3 linked regions of the Danio rerio genome follow. The protein of the gene in region 3 purifies or fractionates together with the protein of the main gene of each other region. This does not show direct contact. Links are inferred from orthologs where the notes say so. Each region holds a gene or a part of one and is shown on either strand. Other genes may lie near its edges.

Evidence for each region.
Region 1: the proteins of polb (region 3) and parp1 purify together in Homo sapiens (affinity purification with mass spectrometry; 4 studies listed by BioGRID and IntAct, counting the BioPlex papers as one, with this or other methods). This does not show direct contact. The link is inferred for Danio rerio from reciprocal best matches to the Homo sapiens genes POLB and PARP1.
Region 2: the proteins of polb (region 3) and lig3 purify together in Homo sapiens (affinity purification with mass spectrometry; 3 studies listed by BioGRID and IntAct, counting the BioPlex papers as one, with this or other methods). This does not show direct contact. The link is inferred for Danio rerio from reciprocal best matches to the Homo sapiens genes POLB and LIG3.

The regions. Positions count from the first base shown.
Region 1 is NC_133195.1:46,952,305-46,956,444, forward strand, and holds the start of parp1 (poly [ADP-ribose] polymerase 1), read left to right. Parts: upstream 1-1,340; 5' UTR 1,341-1,360; coding exon 1,361-1,483; intron 1,484-4,140. UniProt on the Homo sapiens protein: Poly-ADP-ribosyltransferase that mediates poly-ADP-ribosylation of proteins and plays a key role in DNA repair.
Region 2 is NC_133180.1:66,745,213-66,748,952, reverse strand, and holds part of lig3 (DNA ligase 3), read right to left. Parts: intron 1,508-3,740; coding exon 1,339-1,507; intron 1-1,338. UniProt on the Homo sapiens protein: Isoform 3 functions as a heterodimer with DNA-repair protein XRCC1 in the nucleus and can correct defective DNA strand-break repair and sister chromatid exchange following treatment with ionizing radiation and alkylating agents.
Region 3 is NC_133183.1:3,693,015-3,696,754, forward strand, and holds part of polb (DNA polymerase beta), read left to right. Parts: coding exon 1-14; intron 15-103; coding exon 104-174; intron 175-2,491; coding exon 2,492-2,578; intron 2,579-2,667; coding exon 2,668-2,744; intron 2,745-3,740.

The sequences.
Region 1 (4,140 bases), on a different chromosome or scaffold from region 3:
TAGTCCAAATGTATAAGTTAGGGAAAATATTAAATAATTTTTCAAAGAGCAAAATCCAAGAGAAACAAAAAAATGTATAAAATTTTGTGAAATTTTGTAGTTTGTAATTTTCCCCCAATATTTCGCAATAATTGAAGCATATTTTTTCTTTCTATTTCTAAAGATGTTTAGTGACTAAAATATTATTTTATTAAATATATCTGTTTCATCTGTTTTGTTCAAATGCACCAAAATATATTACCTATATTTCTTGATAAATGGGTAAAATATTCATTTTCTAAATGGGGTGTATTCACAATTATGCTGAGCACTGTGTAAACATATGACACAAAACATATAACTAGGCCAACGCGGAATCTGCACACGCAGAATTCCACATAATTTTAGACCATCATTGATTCTGTTTATTTACTTGTGTAAATGTTTTAAAATGTATATTTATTCAGTTTGTAAATTCATTTTAGGATAATTATTGGCTAATGTGAAAATATTCGTATGATTTATTTACAGTACAGTTTGTAAAGTATTATTTTCTGTCTTTTAGTAGAGATATTATATGAGACACTTGCTTTGTTTACCAAATAAAGTGGATCAAATTGAATTTGCATTGTAAACATTAAATACAAGTTAGAAAGCTATTATTTTTTAATTCATATATGAAGGTTTTAGTTTTGATACTCCCAAAATTATTCCATAAATCCGCAGATTTTTAACAAAATTCTTTGCAGAAAAAGTTAAAAAAATGTCCGCAGATTTTTTCTTGCCCTACTTACAGAGGCGCAAAAAAGGGGTGTGCACTATATGCGGGGCTTAGGGGCGCCATACATGGGGGGAGCGGGGGTGTGCCAAAACTATTTTTGAAATTATTAATACTTAAAGTTTTTATTAATCAAAATAAATAAATATTTTTTGTTAAGAATGTTTATTTTGCGTTTAAATTACATGATAATATTGTATTTTATTAGATAAAGAAAATCATACTGCCTAAAGGCGCATAAAATCAAAATCAAATCAAATGGCGCCTAAAAATAAAAGGTATTATTATTATTATTATTAATTTTATTATACCACCCCAACTTGAACCCGCATACCTTTAAGTAAATTTGCAATTGCGCCCCTGCCTACTTAAAAGATTTTTCTTCAGTGTTGAGGAGCTTTGAGTTCGATTAGCTTTGTCTGCGCATATTCTCCACTACTAGAGGAATGTGGGCTCGATTGGTTTGGGCTGGTATTCTGCGCGGGTGCTTCTGCACGCGGACTGACTGCGCGCTATTCCTCATTGCGCTGTAACGTGAGTTGTCGGCCTGTCTGACTAGAATTAGTCTGCAAACTTCTCCTTTTAACAGAAATATCTGCAGAGATGGCCGACTCACAGGACGACAAGCTGTACAAAGCCGAATATGCAAAAAGCGGACGCGCCTCATGCAAGAAATGCAAAGACAACATTGCTAAGGACTCGCTGAGGATGGCCATCATGGTGCAGGTGAGGGAATTATTGTTGTGTGCAACTTTTTGGAATTAGCTCTGCTTCAGAAACATCCTTAAAATTCTATATTTGGTGGAAATGCGTTTGGTTGTGCAGGTATGCGTGGCGAAATGTATAGTAAGTGTACGTACACAAATGAATGAACAGGTTTCTAAGGCCCAAGATGAGTTTAAAGGGATAGTTCACCTAAACATTTTAAATTTGCTCACCCCCAAATGGTTTTAAATTTTTATGAGTTTGTTGTTTTCTGTTGAATACATAAGGAGATATTTTGAAGGAAGCTGAAAACCTGTACCCATTCACTTCCATTGTAGAAAAATACTATAGAAGTCAATGGTTACAGGTTTTCAGCTTTTTCCCAACTGTCTTCTTTTGTGTTTACTGGAGAAAGAATCTCTAATAGGTTTGTAACAGGTGAAGAATGAGCTAATGATGACAGCATTTTCATTTTTGGGTGAACTATCCCTTTAAATGGTCCTCTGTTATCAAATAATAAGCAGTGTTTTCCTATGAATATTAGCTTTAATATAGCTGTGTAATTAGCACAGTATTAGCTGGAAACCAGTTTAATTTGAGAAAACATTAAGGAAATAAATAAAGCTGCACTATTTCAATGCAATAAAGCTCAGTAAAATGTTTAAATTGACTAAAACCTGTTTATTTTCAATACAAGTATATTTATTTCTGAATTCATCATTACTCGCCACCTTATTATTGATTTATTATGCAGCTATATAGATCGTAATATTTCCTAAAACCGCATTTATTTACTAGGGTACACTTTCAGCTAATTAATGTTGAATTATTTAAATGTACTTTTAAAAATAAATGTAACTACCATACTTAAAGTAGATCAGCAGTGATTTCCTATGAATATTAGCCTAAATATAGCTGTGTGATTTTCTGGAATCCAGTTTAATTTGAGAATACATTAAGAAAATAATCAAAGCTGCACTATTTCAATGCAATGAAGCTCATTATTATTTTTAATTGTCTATATCATGTTTATTTTCAATTTAAGTCTTATTAATTTTCTGAATTCATCATTACTCATTGCCTTATTATTGATTTATTATGCAGCTATATAGATAGTAATATGTGCTAAAACCACTTTTATTTACTAGGCTACACTTTCAGCTAATTAATGTTTAATGATTAGGTGTACTTTTTTTAAGTAAACGTCCATACTTAAAGTAGATTAGCAGTGCTTTTCTATGAATATTAGCTTAAAATAACTGTGATTTGCACAAGATTTGCTGAAAACCAGTTTAATTTGAGAATACATCAAGAAAATAAACAAAGCTGCATCATATCATTGTAATTAATCTCAGTAAAATGTTTAAACTGACTAAATTCTGTTTATTTTTTATGCAAGTCAATTTATTTCTGAATTTCTTATTACTCATTGCCTTATTTTATAGATTCATTATAAGCCATAGATTGTAATATGTCAGGGCTTGCAAAGTCTGGTACCTAGATAACCCACCAGGCTTTTTGGTAGCCCGAATGAAAAAACAATAGCCCCAGATTTTGTAAGCCCTGTATGTGCAAAAAACACTTTTATTTACTTTCACCTAATTAATGTTTAATGTTTAAGAGTGCTTTTGCTAAAAAATTAAATAAACAAACTAACATACTTGACTGAGTGAAGCAGGTCAGCAGTGATTTCCTATGAACATTAGCTCAAAACAGCGGTGTGATTTGGACAATTTCGCTGGAAACGTGTTTCATTTGAGAAAACATTTAATGAAACAAAGCTACACTAATTTAATACAATGAAGACCAGTAAAAATGTGGGTCCCACTTTAGATTAAGCAACCTTAACTAAAATGTACTCGCACTGAAATTAATAATTCATTACAATGTACTTCTTGTGTAAATATGTGTTTTTACATGATACTTATGCTTGGTTAAATACCTGCATGTAAATACATCTGTAAGTTCGTTTGTTATTTCACTGTTAATCATTGCTTATACCTTAAACCATAAAGACGCCACCAATCCAGTCCCTAAACCTACCCATATTCCACCTCAGGAGGACCAGAAGTGTTCAGCAATACATCATGAACACATTAAGTGCATTGTATTTATTTTTTCATGTAAGTACATAGTAGTTGAAAAAAAAGTGGGACCAAAATTGTTCAAATTGAGTAAGTCCTGTTTATTTTTCAGTGCAAATCTTTTTTTTTTCTTCTGAATGTCTTACTATTTGACTTGTTTGACGATTTATTAATGTATTGTTTACATTTGTACAATATTTCTGCACCATTAAAGGGGATAGTTCACCCCAAAATTAAAATTGTCTTATTTACTCTGCCTTTAATTGTTCCAAACCTTTAAATTGTTCTGTTGAGCACAAAAGAAGATAGATAGATAGATAGATAGATAGATAGATAGATAGATGGATAGATGGATGGATGGATGGATGGATGGATAGATAGATAGATAGATAGATAGATAGATAGATAGATAGATAGATAGATAGATAGATAGATAGATAGATAGATAGATGGATGGATGGATGGATGGATTGATGGATGGATAGATGGATGGATGGATGGATAGATATTGTAATCATTGCTGTAAAATGCGATATGATTATTTAAATGATGTGCACGCTTTCATTTTCACTGCTAAGTGCTGTTCATACTTAG
Region 2 (3,740 bases), on a different chromosome or scaffold from region 3:
ATTTAAAAAATGTAATTCAATAGCAGAGATTATATAGTTCCTGTTTCTAAACCTCTTTACTGCTTTTGAACCAACAAACTAGTCTAAATGAGGACATATGTACATCATTTTTCATGTTCGTAATATCGAATCTAATCTATAAATGAGTAACAATGAATCAATTGCTTACTTAACCCAAAAATACATTCTGTTAACTTTGTGGAATTAAAAAAAAATAATAATCATACACGTTTGGAAAGATATACAAGTGCATTTCAAACTAGAATATCGTTGATTTATTTTAGTAATTAAATTTGAAAAGTGAAAGTCAGATACGATTCATTACACACACACACTGATACATTTCAAGTGTTTTGTTTTTTTTAGAGGGTACCTTTTATGCAAAAATGACTTTTATAAGGGTTTAAACACAGATGTTTGGCAACAGTGGGTAAAAATAACCAGCTTCTAGTGGCAAAAATGTATTCATTTTATTTTTTCATAAATTGCACTTCATAAAAACAATCTGTGGAAATACTTTGATTGACAATCTGCTTTTGTACATGTCATCAGAGGGGGAAAGCCCCACCTATTAGTGATGATCTCACCCCCATTAGCATAGGAGGTTAGTCTTGCTTTTGTGTCAGCACACTGGCAGATTCAAAAACATTTTGTAGGCCCACGCTCTTTTAAAAATCTAATTTGAATTTAAAGCGACAGTCACCAAAATGTTCAGAGTTATAAAACATTATTTGTGGGTTGTTTTTTTTGAGCTGAAACAACACATACACACTCTAAGGACATCAGAGACTTATTTTGTATCTTGTAAAAAATGATGTAACAGGTCCCCTTTAAGTTTGATGATGCTTACAGGTAATGCTTAAACTTACTTATACTTGTCTCTTTTATTCCTGTTTATGTAAAGCACTTTGAATTGCCACTGTATATGTAATGTGCTTTATAAATAAACGTACCTTGCCTAATGAAAACCCAAAATTAAATATTTTAAAAAATCTAAATATTACTTAAAACTAACACAATTAACCAAAATTATGAACTACTGAAAAATATGAATATGTTCATGGAATAAGCAGAATATTTGAGTATGTTAGACAATTATGCACGCTTCAGGTGCAAAACACCTCGAGTGTGCATTATTGGCCAATAATTTAACAAATTGAAGCAGATTATTTTGCTTATACTAAGAAAATGTTCATGCTTTCAGTATTATTCTGCTTATTTTTTCATTTTTTTTTCAGTTGCTGTATTTGTGCTTATAGTATAAGGGATGGCAGTTATAATTGATGACAATTAAACTTTTGGGTGAACTATTCCTTAAAGTATATTAAAGATTGATACCAGCATTGGCTGTACTGGAGTCATCAGAGATGCCTCGATGCTGAGGATCTTTCGGGGGCCAGTTCCATTAGAAGCATCCTGCTGGTTACGCAGCACTCTGTCTATCACATCACCGAGATTACGGGAGGCTTTGAAGGCATCATAGGCATTGGGGTCTACAGCATCCAAACTGATGAGAGAAAAGGTTACAAAGAGGGGGACAGAACAAATAGGTCTGTTTACACCAGGTATTAAGTTGCTCATGTCAGAAGTAAATGAGGATGTTGAATTACTGTTTGCACCAGTTTTTCTTTATATATATTAGAGAATAACGTCTATAGGCAGGTTTAAGTGTGAGTTTTATATAATTTTTTAATCTATTAATCCAAACATAAGTTTGCAAAATTTACATATGAACAAAACTATACAAACAACAATTGCATCTGAGGGTTTGTGTTACAATTAAGAGAAATCAGCAAATATTGTGCATTTTTACATTTTTTCACCTTCAAATCAAACTTATGGTGTCATACGGAAAATTTATTTAATTCAATGAAGCATGCTTAAAAGGGGAAATGTAGCACACAGTTAAGTTTACCTTATTTTGTGCATTGGATTCCACTTTAATGAAAATATATTAAACAAACTTGATTAATGTAACCATTTAGCAGAAAACGGCATGTTTTACTATAGATTGTAGACCTAGGACGCAGCCATCTTGGAATTTTGCTATGTCACAGGGTTGGTTCAGTTCCCTCAGCTGAACAGATACAGTGGAAGTTACTGCTATAAAGCCTAATCTAACCCAATGCGTTAAGTTATGGATGTGGAGCTGCTGCAAATACAAGCATCAGATGCGTGTCTAATATTTTAATTACTTATCATTTGATGTGCTTTGCTCCACTCTCTGCATTACGCTGCCTGACTGACTGTCTTGGTTTCAACAATGATTGTAACGGACTGAACACAGAGACTGGACAGCTTAATTTAACCCAATGCATAAAGTTGCAGACGAGCATCACAGAGCTGGTACTAACACAAGCATTTAAGTGTCTTAAGTTGTGTATTTTTCTTTTGATAATACTTTTCGCTTGATGCGCTGTGGTCCACTCTCAAACGCTGCTCCAGTGCTGCCTGACGAGTGGATTTATATTCAGACTAATGCAACAATTAAAATTACACATGACTTCACACTTTACTTAGTCATGTCTTTGTGGATTATGTCAAGACATATTCCCCCTTCAAGGTTATCAACTTTATTTTTTATTAAAGTGGAATCCACTTTACAAAATAAGGTATACTTGACTGAGTGCTTTATTGCTCCTTTAAAGAAGTGGTTCCCGAAGTAGGAACAATGAGATGAAGTCACTTGGTGATTTCCAAAAATCAAATAAATATTAATAAATTATTAAAATTATAATCTTTTGATCTATTAATCCAAATAAACTAAAATATCAAGTTTAATAAACTATTAAAATAACTATATTTCATCCATAACCTACAGAAGATAAAAAAAAAAGTTACAATAAAAATTGTCTCCAAAAATTAAACAAAGAATGAACTTGTGCTGTAAACATTGTGCCAACCAAGTCTCATTAGGTGAGGTTAATATTCAATTAAACAAATGAATAAATGACTATAAAAATGACATAGTTGTGAGACATAGTTGCTGCACTTTTTTGTGTTGTCAATATGCTAATGTTTATAGGCCTATAGGTGTGTGCGAGCTGTTGCATTCAAAATTTGGATGTCTATAACCACCTCTGAAAATAGTGGGGGTCGTGAGTCACTGGCTGTTATTTTGGGGGTTGTGGGTTGAAAAATATGGGAACCCCTGGTTTAACGGTTAAAAAAAAACAAAAAGATTTCAGATGTTAGTATTAGTACGTTAGTTTGAAGGATATCTAATAGCTAGTGTGCTCCAAAACTGTGACAAAATATGCAAATCTTGCAGTTTGTCACTTCTACCTTAAAGGATCAATTATTTTTTTATCATCCTTTTTATCATCCAAAATGATCATACCTCCATTTTACATCAAATCTTCTGACCAATCACATGTTCTATAGTATCTAACATGCCCCGCTTCTTTAAGATGCCTCTTATTTGTTTTTATATTTTATTATTTTAATTAAACCAATAAACCCTAACACAACTGGTTGTTTATTTTTCAGAGGAGGAGCTACTATATGTCCCACTCTGTTTTCATGTTTCAGTTGAGATTAATCCAAACATTGAAAAAAAATGCAAATTGCAAAGCACTTCACAGGACCTTTAACAATTCCTATACTGTTAAAAATGGACTATACACAGAGTAGGTCCTTATTGGCTGTTTAAATGCATCTGTTCAAATAAGTGTTTATTCTATGAAAGCAAAACAGTTGGATGCGTTTCTGACTTTTGGACATGGTAGAAAGTGAATAAG
Region 3 (3,740 bases):
CAGCTACAGAAGAGGTTATTGATTCACTCTTATCCCGATATTTAATATAAGTTATCACATTTTATCATCCTAATGTGCCATAATGGCTTTCGTTAATATTCAGGAGCAGAGTCGAGTGGTGATATTGATATACTGCTGACCCATCCGGACTTCACATCTCAGTCTGAGAAACAGGTAAAGTCTGATATTTTTTAAAGATGGAAATAATTAATAAAGAATGCAGTTTTTCTTCGTTTATTTAGGTTTGGCCAAAAATTAATTGCAATTAAGCACGTCCAAAATAAAACTTTGACATAATTTAGGTGTGTGTATTGTGTGTATTTATGGCATGCATATATTTGAGAAATAGATAGTAATGTAAAAAATAATAGGTATAAAATAAATATGTTTTTGATACAGATTATATATATATAAAAGCAATATCAAACAAGTAGCAGTGGGATATTGCTGTATATCGGCACTGGTGGGAGGCGTGTCTTAGTGCCCCCACCAGTGCCGATATACAGCCATATTGCACTGCTACTCGTGTGATATTGCGTTTATACAACAGTTTGACGGCATAATTGTGTATATAAAACAAAATCAAACATTAAGAGTCTCAAAAACCCTTTTGTATGAGGAACTACTTTCTTCCAGATTCAAATCATAAGCTGACAGTTAAACAGCCGAGTGTGCATCTTTTAACCTTTAGATCTGTAGTGTCTGCTCTTTGCTGGCTGTATGTGGGCGGAGTAATACACAAAGGGTAAAGGGGCTGTACGGGTGCTGATATTACTTAAATATATCACGGCTATCAGCCAATCAGATTTGAGAACCAGACAGAACTGTTGTGTATATATATATCTGTATTTAAATATCTATGTAAGAAAATTGTTTTATATAGTTTTGTTTTTTATATCACACATACATAATAAATATAAATATACATAACACGCACACATATATTATGTCAAAACAAACCTTTATTTTGGATGCAATTAATCTTTGCTTAATCTTTTAATTAATCTTTCCTGTTATTATTATTGCACATCTTATTATTAAATTATTAAACTCACCCACCCAATTTGACTAGTGTAAGAATATTATGACTGTAAAACATATTTAAATAGAATGTGTGCTTATTTAATTACATTAGAGAAATTTTTATTCAGAAAATATTTTAAGGGTCCCAATTATTAATTGTTGACTAAACTAAAAGATCTCATATGACCTTTTGTCAGTATTGTTGTTATTTAGTATGTTTTTGTATAATGTTTGTTTATTTGTATTAAGGCTGGTCGATATGACGGCATATATCATTACATCATTAAAATGTTTTATATTTAATTTAAAATGTTTACACATTTATATTTTCATATTTAAGGTTCATTTTCCTGTTACTTGGGACATATTTGATATCTGTGATAAGATGTTACTTGAGAAATGTTTATAATAATAAGGTCTGTCCACATAAAACTGAAATGTGGCATACAGTGGGATTTGTTGTCCAACTAAAGTTATAATTTGTTTACTACATTTACTACATCAAATAAGATCAAGTCCTTTTTTAAATTTTCAAGCTTATATATTATAAAAAGCACTTTTGTACATTTTCTGGAATAACAACCTTCATAAAAAAAACTATATTGTGTAAGACATCATTACCCGTACAGCCTCTATCAAGCCTCTTCAACTGCTCCAGAATGCAGCAGCACGAGTGGTCTTCAATGAACCTAAACAAACACATGTCACTCCACTGCTAGTCCGTTTGCACTGGCTGCCAGTTGCTGCTCGCATCAAATTCAAAGCTCTGATGTTTGCCTACAAAGTGACTTCTGGCTTTGCTCCTTCTTATCTGCTCTCACTTCTGCAGATCTATGTGCCCTCCAGAAACTTGCGTTCTGTGAATGAACATCGCCTCGTGGTTCCATCCCAAAGAGGGAAAAAATCACTTTCGCTCACGCTCAATCTGCCCAGTTGGTGGTATGAACTCCCTAACTGCATCAGAACAGCAGAGTCACTCGCTGTCTTCAAGAAACGACTAAAAACTCAACTATTTAGTCTCCACTTCACTTCCTAATCTGCAATTGCCTCTCTGAATATCACACTAACTGTACAAAAAAAAAAAAAACTAATACTACTAATACTTCCCTTCTTAGACTTTACAGACCTGAAACTTGCCTACAGCACTTATTCATTGTTGCTCTTAGTTGTGTAAATTGCTTCCTTGTCCTCATTTGTAAGTCGCTTTGGATAAAAGCGTCTGCTAAATGACTAAATGTAAATGTAAATTACCGTGAAATAAACTTTCTTATACCATGAGATAAACATTTGGTCATACCGTTCAGCCTTTATTAGGATTAATTTATGATTATAAACTATATATCGAATTTATATTGGTAATGTTGTCATGAAAATGGCCAGTGAAGCTGATATGTCAGAAAAGCATAAATAAACAAATATTATTATTAATATAACATTATTATTCTTATTATATTACATCATTATTCAGCCGAAGCTCCTTCATGCCGTTGTGGATCATCTGGAGTCCATCGGCTTCATTACTGACACACTGTCTAAAGGAGACACTAAATTCATGGTGAGTCTCTCGGCCGTCTTATTTGTGCATTTCAAATATTAATAAATTATAGTGAATGTGAAATAAAACATGTTTTTTTTATTCTTCAGGGTGTGTGTCAGCTGCAGAAAGAAAAAGAAGAAGAGGAGGAGGAGGAGGAGTCTTTACACCGCCGTATTGATATCAGGTACTTTTGAGTTATTTTACTATCATTGGTATTATATTATTGATATTATTATATTTATGATGTTAATATTATATTATTAACATCTTGAGGTAGTTTTTATTTTTGCAGTTTCTGTTTTTTGTTAAATTTAGAATTATTGGCTTTAGTGATCTTGCATTTATTGTTTATATATATATATATATATATATATATATATATATATATATATATATATATATATATATATATATTTATGTAATTTCTGTATTTATGTGTTTTTCTAAATAATTGCATGTGTATATAGGTTTTATTTCTTTGTTTAATACTTTGTTAATTTATTCCTTTGCCTTGACAACATCAACTAAAACTGATAATAACTAGGTACTTTCTGTCTTCTAAACCAGTGTTTCTCAACCATGTTCTTGGAGGACCACCAGCACATTTTCCATGATTTTTAACCAAACACACCTGATTCAGATCATCAGCTCATTAGCAGAGACTGAAAGACCTGTAATGGGTGTATCAGGCAATGGAGACATCCAAAACATAGCGGTGGGCCTCCAGGAACATGGTTGAGAAACACTGTTGTAAATGTTTTATGAAATGCTGTGATGCGACTGTTTTATACAATTTTACCATTATTTTTCATGCAACAAAAGAGGTTGTGTTTAAGCATGATGATTATGATTTTTATTTTTGTGCATGCAAAAGAGACATATTGGATTATTAAATTCGCTATAATTTCACACCACCAGATTTGACACCACCAGATTCGTTTAAATACAACAAAGTTGCCTATGATTTTAACCTAAAATAAACATTTTACACTGAAGATTTTGCCCATCACTACAACTTAAATGTAAAATGAACTTAAATATATGAACTTAAATCTGAAGTGAACTTAAATATAAAATTATATTACAAATGATCAGTCTAGAATCTCATACTATTATTCAGATTTTTAGAATCCACAACCAAACAGGAAAACATCCGGTTTTATCATAAAACATCACAAGA